Linked DNA regions of Macaca mulatta. The protein of the gene in region 1 interacts with the protein of each later gene in a biochemical or structural test. Links are inferred from orthologs where the notes say so. Each region holds a gene or a part of one and is shown in the gene's direction. Other genes may lie near its edges.

The links. The genes of interacting proteins can lie anywhere in the genome.
Region 2: the proteins of INPP5D (region 1) and CD244 interact in a biophysical measurement, tested with the Homo sapiens proteins (2 studies listed by IntAct). The link is inferred for Macaca mulatta from reciprocal best matches to the Homo sapiens genes INPP5D and CD244.
Region 3: the proteins of INPP5D (region 1) and SHC1 form a complex in vitro, tested with the Homo sapiens proteins (2 studies listed by BioGRID and IntAct, with this or other methods). The link is inferred for Macaca mulatta from reciprocal best matches to the Homo sapiens genes INPP5D and SHC1.

Annotation. Positions count from the first base shown.
Region 1 is NC_133417.1:138,332,530-138,336,739, forward strand, and holds the start of INPP5D (phosphatidylinositol 3,4,5-trisphosphate 5-phosphatase 1), read left to right. Parts: upstream 1-1,410; 5' UTR 1,411-1,538; coding exon 1,539-1,681; intron 1,682-4,210. UniProt on the Homo sapiens protein: Phosphatidylinositol (PtdIns) phosphatase that specifically hydrolyzes the 5-phosphate of phosphatidylinositol-3,4,5-trisphosphate (PtdIns(3,4,5)P3) to produce PtdIns(3,4)P2, thereby negatively regulating the PI3K (phosphoinositide 3-kinase) pathways.
Region 2 is NC_133406.1:106,022,122-106,025,621, forward strand, and holds part of CD244 (natural killer cell receptor 2B4), read left to right. Parts: intron 1-1,091; coding exon 1,092-1,409; intron 1,410-1,491; coding exon 1,492-1,782; intron 1,783-3,500. UniProt on the Homo sapiens protein: Heterophilic receptor of the signaling lymphocytic activation molecule (SLAM) family; its ligand is CD48.
Region 3 is NC_133406.1:112,039,266-112,042,484, forward strand, and holds the end of SHC1 (SHC-transforming protein 1), read left to right. Parts: exon of another isoform or gene 1-366; intron 367-1,103; coding exon 1,104-1,232; 3' UTR 1,233-2,719; downstream 2,720-3,219. UniProt on the Homo sapiens protein: Signaling adapter that couples activated growth factor receptors to signaling pathways. Participates in a signaling cascade initiated by activated KIT and KITLG/SCF.

The DNA of each region.
Region 1 (4,210 bases):
GAGTGCTTTGTCTGCCCTACAGACTCACCTGCTGTGCGTGTTGCTACAGCAGGGAGGTGCTGGGGGCCCTGTCCTGGGACAACCATCAGCGTGACGCACGTTGAGCCCCTGGGCACATGTGAGCTCCTTTACGAGCTACGTCCTTCAAATTAGACAAGAAGAAACCAAGGCCGAGAGAGAGAAGAAACTTGACCAGGTTCCCACAGCTTGAATGTGGTGGCGCTGCCTGGCTGGTGCCACTGCCTGGCTGGTGCCCCTTCCTGGAGGGGGTCTGTTGTCATGTCCTGGAGCCCAAGGCCTGGATGTGGGATGAGGGGACACTCCTTGTGCAGCGGGTCAACACCTGCCCCTTCAGCCTTGGTGGGCCTGACCCAAGGATGGAGGGTACCCAGGTCTGGGGGCTGAGGGATGGGTGTCCACTGCAGAGCCCTCAGAAATGACTGGTCCTGGATGGCAGTCCCTGGAGAGGCAGCTCCCCTTGGAGAGGTGGGCAAATGTGGCCATGCCCAGCCTTGGAGGAGGTACAGTCTGACCAGCCACCCCGACTGCTGAGATGCAGGACTCAGGACCCCGTGTTATCCTTGGCCAGGCGGCCAGCCTGCCCTGTGGGGCTTTGGGGTTCTCCTCTCCGAGCTTGTTTCCCCAGCATCCTGGAGAAGCCCAGAGAAAAAGTCAGCCTGTGTTCCCACTGTAAATGGTCCACATCCCCTCCAAGCTCCCTTTGTGTGTCTCCAAGCTGGACTGCAGGGATAAGAGCTGTGCTGCCCGTGCAGCATCCACCGGCCCCTGGGAATGAGGGGAATGCAGTCACAGAGCCGTCACTTGGACCTCGGCACCCTCGGCTGGTGGTGGCCAAGGTCTCCCAGCACCCAGGCCGCTGGGAGTCTCTAAAGGGGAGTGGTGGGGCTTGACTGTCCCCTCCCCCTCAAGTTTGCTCTGTCCTGGGCAGGCTGTAGTCCCAGTTGAGAAGCTGTGCCCCCTTGGGTGTTTTAGGGGTTCAGGATGGGCGTTGAAAAGCCCTGGGGGAGAGCAGAAGGCTCAGGGACCTGTCTAGGGCGTGGCATCCCATGTGGGCGTCAGCATGGCCGCAGAAGAACCACTCTTCGGGCCCACCCATGCCTGCTAGGCCATGCTTCTTCAGAAGTGGCCACGACTCTCCTGACATCTCCAGAGCCGGTCATTCTGCCCAGTGGGACTTCAGCTGTCCCTGGACACTTCACTTGTAGGCTGCGACCTGTTGCCAGGAAGGAGAGGGCCGGTGAAGGAGCCGCAGTAGCCGTGGCGGGGTGTGGGGGACGGTGGATGGCCAGGGCTTCCCCCCGCCCTCTCTCGCTTGGTTTCTGTAATGAGGAAGTTCTCCGCCGCTCAGTTTCCTTTCCCTCGCTGAGCGCCTGAAACAGGAAGTCAGCCAGTTAAGCTGGTGGCAGCAGCCGAGGCCACCAAGAGGCAACAGGCGGCAGGTTACAGCAGAGGGGCCTCCGCTCCCCTCGGTGGCGTGTGGGTCCTGGGGTTGCCCGCTGGCCCGGCCGAGGAGGCCCATGCCCACCATGGTCCCCTGCTGGAACCACGGCAATATCACCCGCTCCAAGGCGGAGGAGCTGCTCTCCAGGACGGGCAAGGATGGGAGCTTCCTCGTGCGTGCCAGCGAGTCCATCTCCCGGGCATACGCGCTCTGCGTGCTGTGAGTACAACCTGCTCCGTCCCCGGGCACAGAGATGACAGAGAGGCTTAGAGGGGGCCCAGCACTGGGATGGGTTGTTCTTATGTCACAGGACAAAGTGATCTGCCATGCACACTTCCCCGCCACCCTGTCATGGACCTTGTCCTTGGACCTTGGCCTTGGAGTTCAGAGAGCTGGTCTCGTGGCAGATTTTGCAGCCTTGGAGCTGTCAGAACCACTCCGAGGCCTGATCTTACACCCCAGCTTCCCATGAGCTGTGTGGTGCCCGGGGCTTCCTTGAAGTCTGGGGAACGAGAGAACGAGTTTGGGCTTTTTGAACCAGGAGGAAGCTCAGGGCTCCTTGGAGGTGGGTGTGTTAGAGATCAGTTCAAAGATGCCCAGCTCAGAAACCCTGAGAAGAGCAAAGGTGGCAAGGGGGACCCTTCCTGGAGCACCCAGGCTTTGGGACCCTGGGGGCAGCTGTTGTTCGGCGAGCCAAGCATATGGGCTGAGTTTAATCAAGAAAGGACTTTCCGTTCGCTCACCACTACCACGAGCGAGCAGCCTCTTCTCTGTCTCCTGAGCACTTGGCTGTGACCGCTGCCCACCCCCACCCCTCAATTTGGGTCTCTGTCACCATCAACTCCTCCCACTGCCCGGTTGGGGATGTTACTGAATGTGCCAGCTGTGCTAGCAATGGAGGAACCAGCCACTTGCTGAAGGTTCCTTTCTAAAACCCCCTTCCTGTCCAGTGTCTGAAGGAGGCCCTTGCCCTGCAGCTCTTGGTCTAATCATTTTGCCGAGGCCTCGGGCAGTGCCAGGGTGTAGTCAGGGAAGGGTATGTCCACCCGAACATCTCCAGTAGCATCCCCGGGCTAGCAGAAATGTTCCCCCAAGCGGAGAGGGCCTTGCCCTTCTTCAGGCAGGAGGGGAAGTGGGTGATGAACCCAGACCTGTTTTGAATACTGACTCACAGCTGGGGCCTGCTGTGCTAAGCATTTGTTAGCCCATTTCATCCTCACCACAACCTGAAGTGAAGGTCCTGTCAAAAGCCCCACTTTGCAGATGAGAAATCTGAGGCCCTGGCAGTTAAGTGAGTGACAACAGTCAAAGCCATGGCCATCTGCCCCCAGAGGCTGCAGCTGAGACCAGCAGCCTGTGGACCGACCTCTCCTGCTCCCAGTCTAGCGGGGCATGCATGTAGCCTTGTGGGGCTGGAGGCAGAAGCAAGGGCAGCCGGAGTGTTTACAGGGTCGGCTGGGGCACTGGAAGCCAACCCAGGCTCACAGCTGGTCGCTGGCCTGTGCTGACAATCTGCAGCCCCACCTCCAAGACTGGCTTCCTGTGCCCCCTCTCTCATGCCTCAGGGGAAGGAACGCAGGCCCAGGCTGCCTGGACTTCCCCAGTGGGGACCTGCTGCTGCCGGGGCCTTAGAAGGGGCAGGAAGATTCTCTTAGGCATCTCACAAGCCCAGTCTGACTCCACCCGGCCCATGTGGATTATTTGGATTTCTCTCCTGGCCCAGTGGGATCTTGTCCTGGCTGCTTGGTGTTGGCTGAGCCGAGGGCTTCCAGGGCCCCATCTCATTAACCTTCGATGCAGCTCTTTGACCAGGGCTTTGTGGTTGCTCAAGTTACAGACATGGGATGTGGGTCTCTCTGACTCCAAGCTGTGAGCATCTTAATGTCTAGGATCAGCCTGAGCCAGAGTCAGAGCTGGAAAGGTCTTGGAAAAGCTCTGGTGCAACAGCCCTGGCTTTTCAGGGGGTAGACAGAGTGCAGAGAGCCTGAGGCCTTTGTCCACCATGCTGGCTGGGGGCAAAACTGCTGGCTTCCAGGCCAGTTCCCGTATTCCTTCCTCCACCTCTTCTCTCGGAACCCTTGTCTGCACTGAGTTACTCTCAGAGTCATGACAGGTGTGCAGTGTCTGCTCCTTAGAAAGGGACCTGTGGTGCCCACAGAGGTCCACTATCCTCTTAGCCAAAGCCTCATCAGCCTCCTATCCTGAGGCTGCTGGGTTGCAAACACCAGGAGCCCCACCCCTTGGCCAGACAAACCCTGGGCTCAGGGTTCCCCTTTCTCCTCTGCTCAGCGTAGGAAGCTTCCGTTCCTGCAGGGTCAGGCTCCACTGTAGGCTGTGGGACGCGATGGACCTGCAGACTTTCCACACATCTGCAGGCTTCATGTGGCTGCTACCCTGGATTTTGCCAATTACGGAGATTTTAAAACTAAAAAGTAATTAAATGAATGATAACAAACTGTCATCCTCCAACATCTCATTTCTTGAAAGAAAGCAGCCTTTGACAACAAAAAAGGCAGGAAGGGCATACAAAAAAAAAAAAAAAAAAAAAAAAAAAGACCAGTCATTTAAAGCAAAGAGATTGAACTTCTTGAAAAACAAACCCCACCACCCCCTAGTTTTCTCTGTTCCCTGCGGAGTGGCCGCAGCCTGCTGGACATGGCAAAGGCAGGCAGCCCCAGGCTGAGGGGTGTGCAGGGCAGCTGGGTTTATCTGCAGCTGCAGAAGTAGCAGCATTTGCTCCCCAGCCCT
Region 2 (3,500 bases), on another chromosome or scaffold:
AACTTCCAGTTTTGTACACTGCCTGCACTGAATTGCTCCAGGTTGTCACACCCCCATATTCATTAGGTCTCATCTGGATTCATTGACAGGGAAGTGCTGGGATCTACCTGGGAAGTGTAGTTTTATTTTAAAAATTGTTTTCTAGGGAGAAATTTTTGTGGAGACTTTCTGATCACTGAAAAACTGGCAAACATCAATGAGTAATGACCAAAATCCAATGTGCCAAGTGCCACGAGAGAGGATTATGTATTCAGCTCTCTGAGAGGACAGTTGAGGGGTCATGAGTCCAGCTTGGAGGGTCATTCTTCCTGGGCCTGACCCTTCAGAATTTCTGACAGTCACTACTTTCCATTAGTAGTTGCCTCAGCACTGCTTGGAGGGAGTCACATTAGATGTGGTGTTTATAACATCATGGTTAAGAATTTATCCTCTGAAGTCAAACTGCTGTCTTTACAAAGAGTAAACAAATAAGCTGGGTGCAGTGGCATGCACCTGTAGTCCCAGCTACGAGGGAAGTTGAGGTGGGGGGATCACCTCAAGCCTAGGAGTTCAAGGCTGCAGTGGGCTGTGATTGTGCCACTGCACTTCAGCCTGGGTGACAGAGTGAGACCCTGTCTCTGACAAACAAAACAAAAGAAAACAAAAACAACACCAAACTGACTAGGTTTCAGGCTCATCATTCTCACTGTGTAACTTAAGCCAGTTACTTAAGCTCTTTCTAACTCAGTTTCCTCACCTATAAAATGGGGATAAGGGTCATTGTTAAGTTAAATAGTTAAAATGTATAAAACATTTGTACATTTTCACCATTTTATTCCTTTTAACTTAAACGGTTAAAATGTATAAAGTGCGAAACCTGCCTGTCACATAGTAAGTACTCAAGATTTTAGCTATTGGTCTATGGGATCCTTCAGACTAGGGACAAAGAGCTTGGGGACAAGGGGAGGCAGATGGGGGGATACACTTTAAGGTGCTCCTAGGCTCTGGGCTCCTCATACCCATCCCCAACCTATTGGCTTAAGGGAAATCACATCCAGCTGCCCACATTGCTCACTCTTCCCGCTACTTTCAGCTTGGGTTCTCTTTCCTAGGATGCCAGGGATCAGCTGACCATGTGTTTAGCATCTTGGGAATGCCCCTTCAGTTACAACCAAACAGCATACAGACAAAGATTTACAATGTTCAGTGGAAGATGTGGCTGCCCTCACAAAATACATTTCGTCAGATATTGCAGTGGGAGAATGGCTCTTCGCCTTCCAATACCTTCAACAATAGATTCAGTTTTATAATCAAGAACTCGACTCTTCTCATCAAGGCAGCTCAGCAGCAGGACAGTGGCCTCTACTGCCTGGAGGTCACCAATACGATGGGACAAGTTCAGAGAGCCATGTTCCAGGTTTTTGTATTTGGTAAGTCTCCAGGACTGCTCATACTGCCCTCTCTGATTCCTGTAGGCCTCTAATTTCTGTATTTCCATGCCTTTCTGATCAGCATCTCTGCTTCCAGATAAAGTTGAGAAACCCCGCCTACAGGGGCAGGGCAAGATCCTGGACAGAGGGAGGTGCCAAGTGGCTCTGTCCTGCTTGGTCTCCAGGGATGACAATGTGACCTATGCTTGGTACAGAGGCAGCAAGCTGATCCAGACAGCAGGGAACCTCACCTACCTGGAGGAGGAGGTTGACATTAATGGCACGCACACATATACCTGCAACGTCAGCAATCCTGTTAGCTGGGAAAGCCACACCCTGAATCTCACTCAGGACTGTCAGAATGCCCATCACGGTAAGTGGAACACACTGGGCTATAACAAGGGCTGAAGGTTTGGACCCACAACCAGGCTCATGTGTAAGACAGACGTGGTATGAGATAAAATCCCTTGGCTTCCTCTCCCAGTGCCTTGTAGCCCTTCCCAGGGGAGTCCTGGCCTCCAAGCACATAGTTCCTGTAAAGCTATCCTACTCTGGAAAAAAAATTATCCCTGTTTCCTTCTGGGAGATGCAAGCTTTTCTTCTGCAGAGGGAGGACACAGTTTTTTGGTGAGTGACAGTCCTGAAATGGCTCCTGAACATTATTTTCTTCCTGAGAGAGGCTAATGGAGAACTGTTCTCTCCTCTTGAGTGATAACTTTCTCCAGGCCACATAGTTCAAGAGGTAACTATACTGTGCAGCAGTAGCCTGGAGCGGGAGCATGAGAATGATCCCAGGGATACCTAGATGAGTTCTTGGGTTGTTGCTTACGCTCATCCTACGAGTTACCTGAGTTCACTTTCCACAACTTTTTATTATATAAACAGAGACTTCATATGCCAGCAGCATGGGCACTATAGGAAAAAAAAATACAGTTCTCATTAATAAGGAACTTACAGCCAAGTAAGGGCAACTAAAATAAGTACTTTTGCACAAAAAATAAACAAGACTGAGGCAGGCTGGGAGCAGTGGCTCATGCCTGTAATCCCAGCACTTTGGGAGGCCGAGGAGGGTGGATCACAAGGTCAGGAGTTTGAGACCAGCCTGGCCAACATGGTGAAACCCTGTCTTTATTAAAACTACCAAAAATTAGCTGGGCATGTGGCTGGCACCTGTAATCCCAGCTACTCGGGAGGCTGAGGCAGCAGAATCCCTTGAACCCGGGAGGCGGAGGTTGCAGTGAGCCGAGATCGCGCCACTGAACTGGGACACCAGCTTCATCATTCAGAAGCTCTGTGATCTCTTAGAGGTCAGGTGTGGTGACTCACACCTGTAATCCTAGCACTTTGGGAGGCTGAGGCAGGTGGATCACTTGAGTCCAGGTGTTTGAGACCAGCCTGGACAACATGGTGTAATCCCATCCCTAATAAATAAATTTAAAAAAACAAAAAAAGCTCTGTGATCTCTGGCAGATTCATTAACCTCTCTGAGTCTCAATTTTTCCCCCCTTGGGTAAAATGGGGATGATAATAAGTACCTCGGAACCCTTAATTCCTTTCCCTTCCTCTCATTGGCTGGATTATGTATCAGGCTACATGTTTGACACAAATGTTTTAAGTAGAAGCTCAAATGAGGAAGAACCATGAAGGCAGGAATAGTGGAAAAGAGAGATGGAAAACTTGCCTGGACAATGAGTATTTTTTGAGTTAAAAACAAATGAATGGATAAATGTAACATTTGTTGTGCTAGATGCTTTACATGTCCCTCAGTATCCATGGGGAATTAGTTCCAGGACCCATGCCATAACCACAGATGCCAAAATCCACGAATATTTAAGTCCTTGGTATAAACAGGTGCAGTATTTGCATATAACCTATGCACATCCTTCTGTATACCTTACTTAAATAATCTCAGATTAATTACAATGTCTGATACAATGTAAGTGCTATTTAAATTGTTGTTATACTGTATTGTTTAGGGAATAATGACAAAGAAAGAAGTGTCTACATATTCAATATGGATGCAATTTTTTTCCTCTGAATATTCTGGATCCACAATTCATTAAATCTACAGTTGTGGAACTCAAAACTTTG
Region 3 (3,219 bases), on another chromosome or scaffold:
GGCGTGAGCCACCGCGCCCGGCCATCTGTGCCCATTTTTACAAATAAGGAAACCACCCCGAAGAGGTTGTGAGGCCCAATGTCACATGGTTAAAGGCTAGACACTGCAAGTTTCCTTTCGTAAGAAGATCCAAGGGCTTCTCCAGCTCCTCAGACTCAGGAGTCAGACCACTGTGCTTTCTCTTATTTGCACTGCCTCACTGTTCTTCAAAACTTTCCTTGTTTAGCCAGGTGTGGTGGCTCATGCCTGTAATCGCAAGATTTTGGGAAGCTGAGGTGGGAGGATTGCTTGAGGCCAGGAGTTCTAGACCAGCCTAGGCAACATGGCAAGACCTTATCTCTAGAAAAATAAAAAAAAACAAAAAATTAGTCAGGAATGGTGACACATGCCTGTAGTCCTACCTACCCAGGAGGCTGAGGCCTGATGATTGCTTGAGCCCAGGAGTTTGAGGTTACAGTGAGCCATGACTGCGCCATTGCACTCTAGCCTGGGTGACAGAGACCCTGTCTAGAAACAAACAAACTTTTGTCTGTTTTCTACAGCAATCTCAGCCTCCTTTCCTCTTTTTCTTTTCTTTTTTTTTTTGAGATAGGGTTTTGCTTTGTCATCCAGGCTGGGGTGTGGTGGCACACCCGGCTAATTTTTGTATTTTTGTTGTTGTTGTTGAGATGGGGTTTCGCCATGTTGCTCAAGCTGTTCTTGAACTCCTGGGCTCAAGTGATCCGCCTCCCTTAGCCTCCCAGAGTGCTGGGATTGCAGGCATGAGCCACCATGCCCAGCCTCCACATCTTTTTTTGCACTGTGTATACTCTTCTGAGACATGCCAACTTTTTCCACGTCAAGAAAAGGGTATATAGCTCTCAGCTTCACTCTTTCAGGGCTGATGTCACCTTTGCCTTTTCCCACTTCACTGACCTGTCTATTCCTGCAACTGTCTCTTTCTAGAGAAACCTCAATGATCAGGACTGATAGGCCACACTCTCCCCTACCATTTTTTTCTCCTTCTTCAAGCCTCTTGTCTGTTTTACCCTCTTCCACCTTGGAGGCTGAGGTCTTATTTGACTCTTCACCTGAATTGACCTTCTTCCTTCCCACCCTCCCAGGTTCGGACTAAGGATCACCGCTTTGAGAGTGTCAGTCACCTCATCAGCTACCATATGGACAATCACTTGCCCATCATCTCTGCGGGCAGCGAACTGTGTCTACAGCAACCTGTGGAGCGGAAACTGTGATCTGCCCCAGACCTCTCTTCCAGAAGATGCCCTCCAATCCCTTCCACCCTATTCCCTAACTCTTGGGACCTCATTTGGGAGTGTTCTGCGGGCTTGGCCTTGTGTCAGAGCTGGGAGTAGTGTGGACTCTGGGTTTCATATCCAGCTGAGTGAGGGTTTGAGGGTTTGAGTCAGAAGCCTGGGGGAGAATCCTGCCTCTCCCCAAACATTGATCACCAAAGTATTAATGTACAGAGTGGCCCTTCACCTGGGCCTTTCCTGTGCCAACCTGATGCCCCTTCCCCAAGAAAGTGAGTGGTTGTCATGGAAAATGTCCTGTGGTGACAGGCCCAGTGGAACAGTCACCCTTTTGGGCAAGGGGGAACAAATCACACTTCTGTGCTTCAGGGTATCCCAGACCCTTCTCAACACCCCCACCCCACCATGTTTAAACTTTGTGCCTTTGACCATCTCTTAGGTCTGATGATATTTTATGCAGAGTTCTTGGGCCCCTGAGTTCAATGACAGGGATGCCAACACCTTCTTGGCTTCTGGGACCTGTCTTCTTGCTCAGCACTCTTTCCGGTTTGGTTTGGGATAACAGAGGCAGGAGTGGCAGCTGTCCCCTCTCCCTGGGGATATGCAACCCTTAGAGATTGCCCCAGAGCCCCCCTCCCGGCCAGGGGGGAGATGGATCCCTCCCTTGCTCAGTGCCTCCTGGCCGGGGCCCCTCACCCCAAGGGGTCTGTATATACATTTCGTAAGGCCTGCCCTCTCCCATGTTGCATGCCTATTGTACTCTACAGCCAAAGTGTAGCCCTTCCTGGAGCCTCTGCCCTGCCTCCCTTTCTGGCAGGGTGGGGTAGGGGTGACTGAATTTGGGCCTCTTGTACAGTTCACTCTCCCAGGTGGATTTTGTGGAGGTGGGAAAAAGGGCATTGAGACTCTTAAAGCAGTAGACAATCCCCAAATACCATCTGTAGAGTTGGAACTGCATTCTTTTAAAGTTTTATATGCATATATTTTAGGGCTGTAGACTTACTTTCCTATTTTGTTTTCCATGGCTTATTCTCGAGCACAAAATGGTAATCAATTATTACATTTATACATCACCTTTTTGACTTTTCCAAGCCCTTTTACAGCTGTTGGCATTTTCCTCGCCCAGGCCTGTGAGGTAACTGGGATCGCACCTTTTATACCAGACCTGAGGCAGATGAAATTTATTTCCATCTAGGACTAGAAAAACTTGGGTCTCTTACCGCGAGACTGAGAGGCAGAAGTCAGCTCGAATGCCTGTCAGTTTCATGGAGGGGAAACGCAAAACCTGCAGTTCCTGAGTACCTTCTACAGGCCCGGCCCAGCCTGGGCCCCTCTTTTGGCCTTGTGGATAAGGGACAGTTGACCGTTTTCATCCTGGACTCCTTTTGCTGTTGTTTGGATGTTTCCACGGGTCTCACTTATACCAAAGGGAAAACTCTTCATTAAAGTCCGTATTTCTTCTACCTCTGCCTCTTAATCCTGGGAAGCCTATTGTGTACGCCGCGGGCCCTTAGCTGCACAGCGGGGAGGCGGGAGGTCGCGGCCGCCGAGGGAAGCTAGGGGGTCTGCGGAGTTTGGGCGCGGCAGAGTGGGGCGTGTCGCGCCACCGTCCCCATGAAGATGTTGTGTCCGGGGGGCGGGGGCTGGCTCCGGGTGCGTCCAGGCAAGAACCCGGACTCCCCGGCGCCGCAACGCCGGCCCCCGGGACTACCTAGACCTCCCAGGCGCGCCCTCGGCTCGCGCGCGCCCCTCCGCGGTGGCTCCACCGCCCGGGATGGTACGGTCCGGCAGCAGGGCCGCGCGCCGCCGCCCCTCGGTGAGCTGGTGTGGGCCGCCGCTAGCGGAAACGACCCTCTCCACTCGCGTGGTGCAGTGGTAAGCCTCGCCCCTCGCCTGCCGCCTGTTTTCTGGCGTGGGGTCTCGTCCGGTCCTTGCTCCCCCTCCCCGCCGCGCTTAGTGGTGGTGGCCG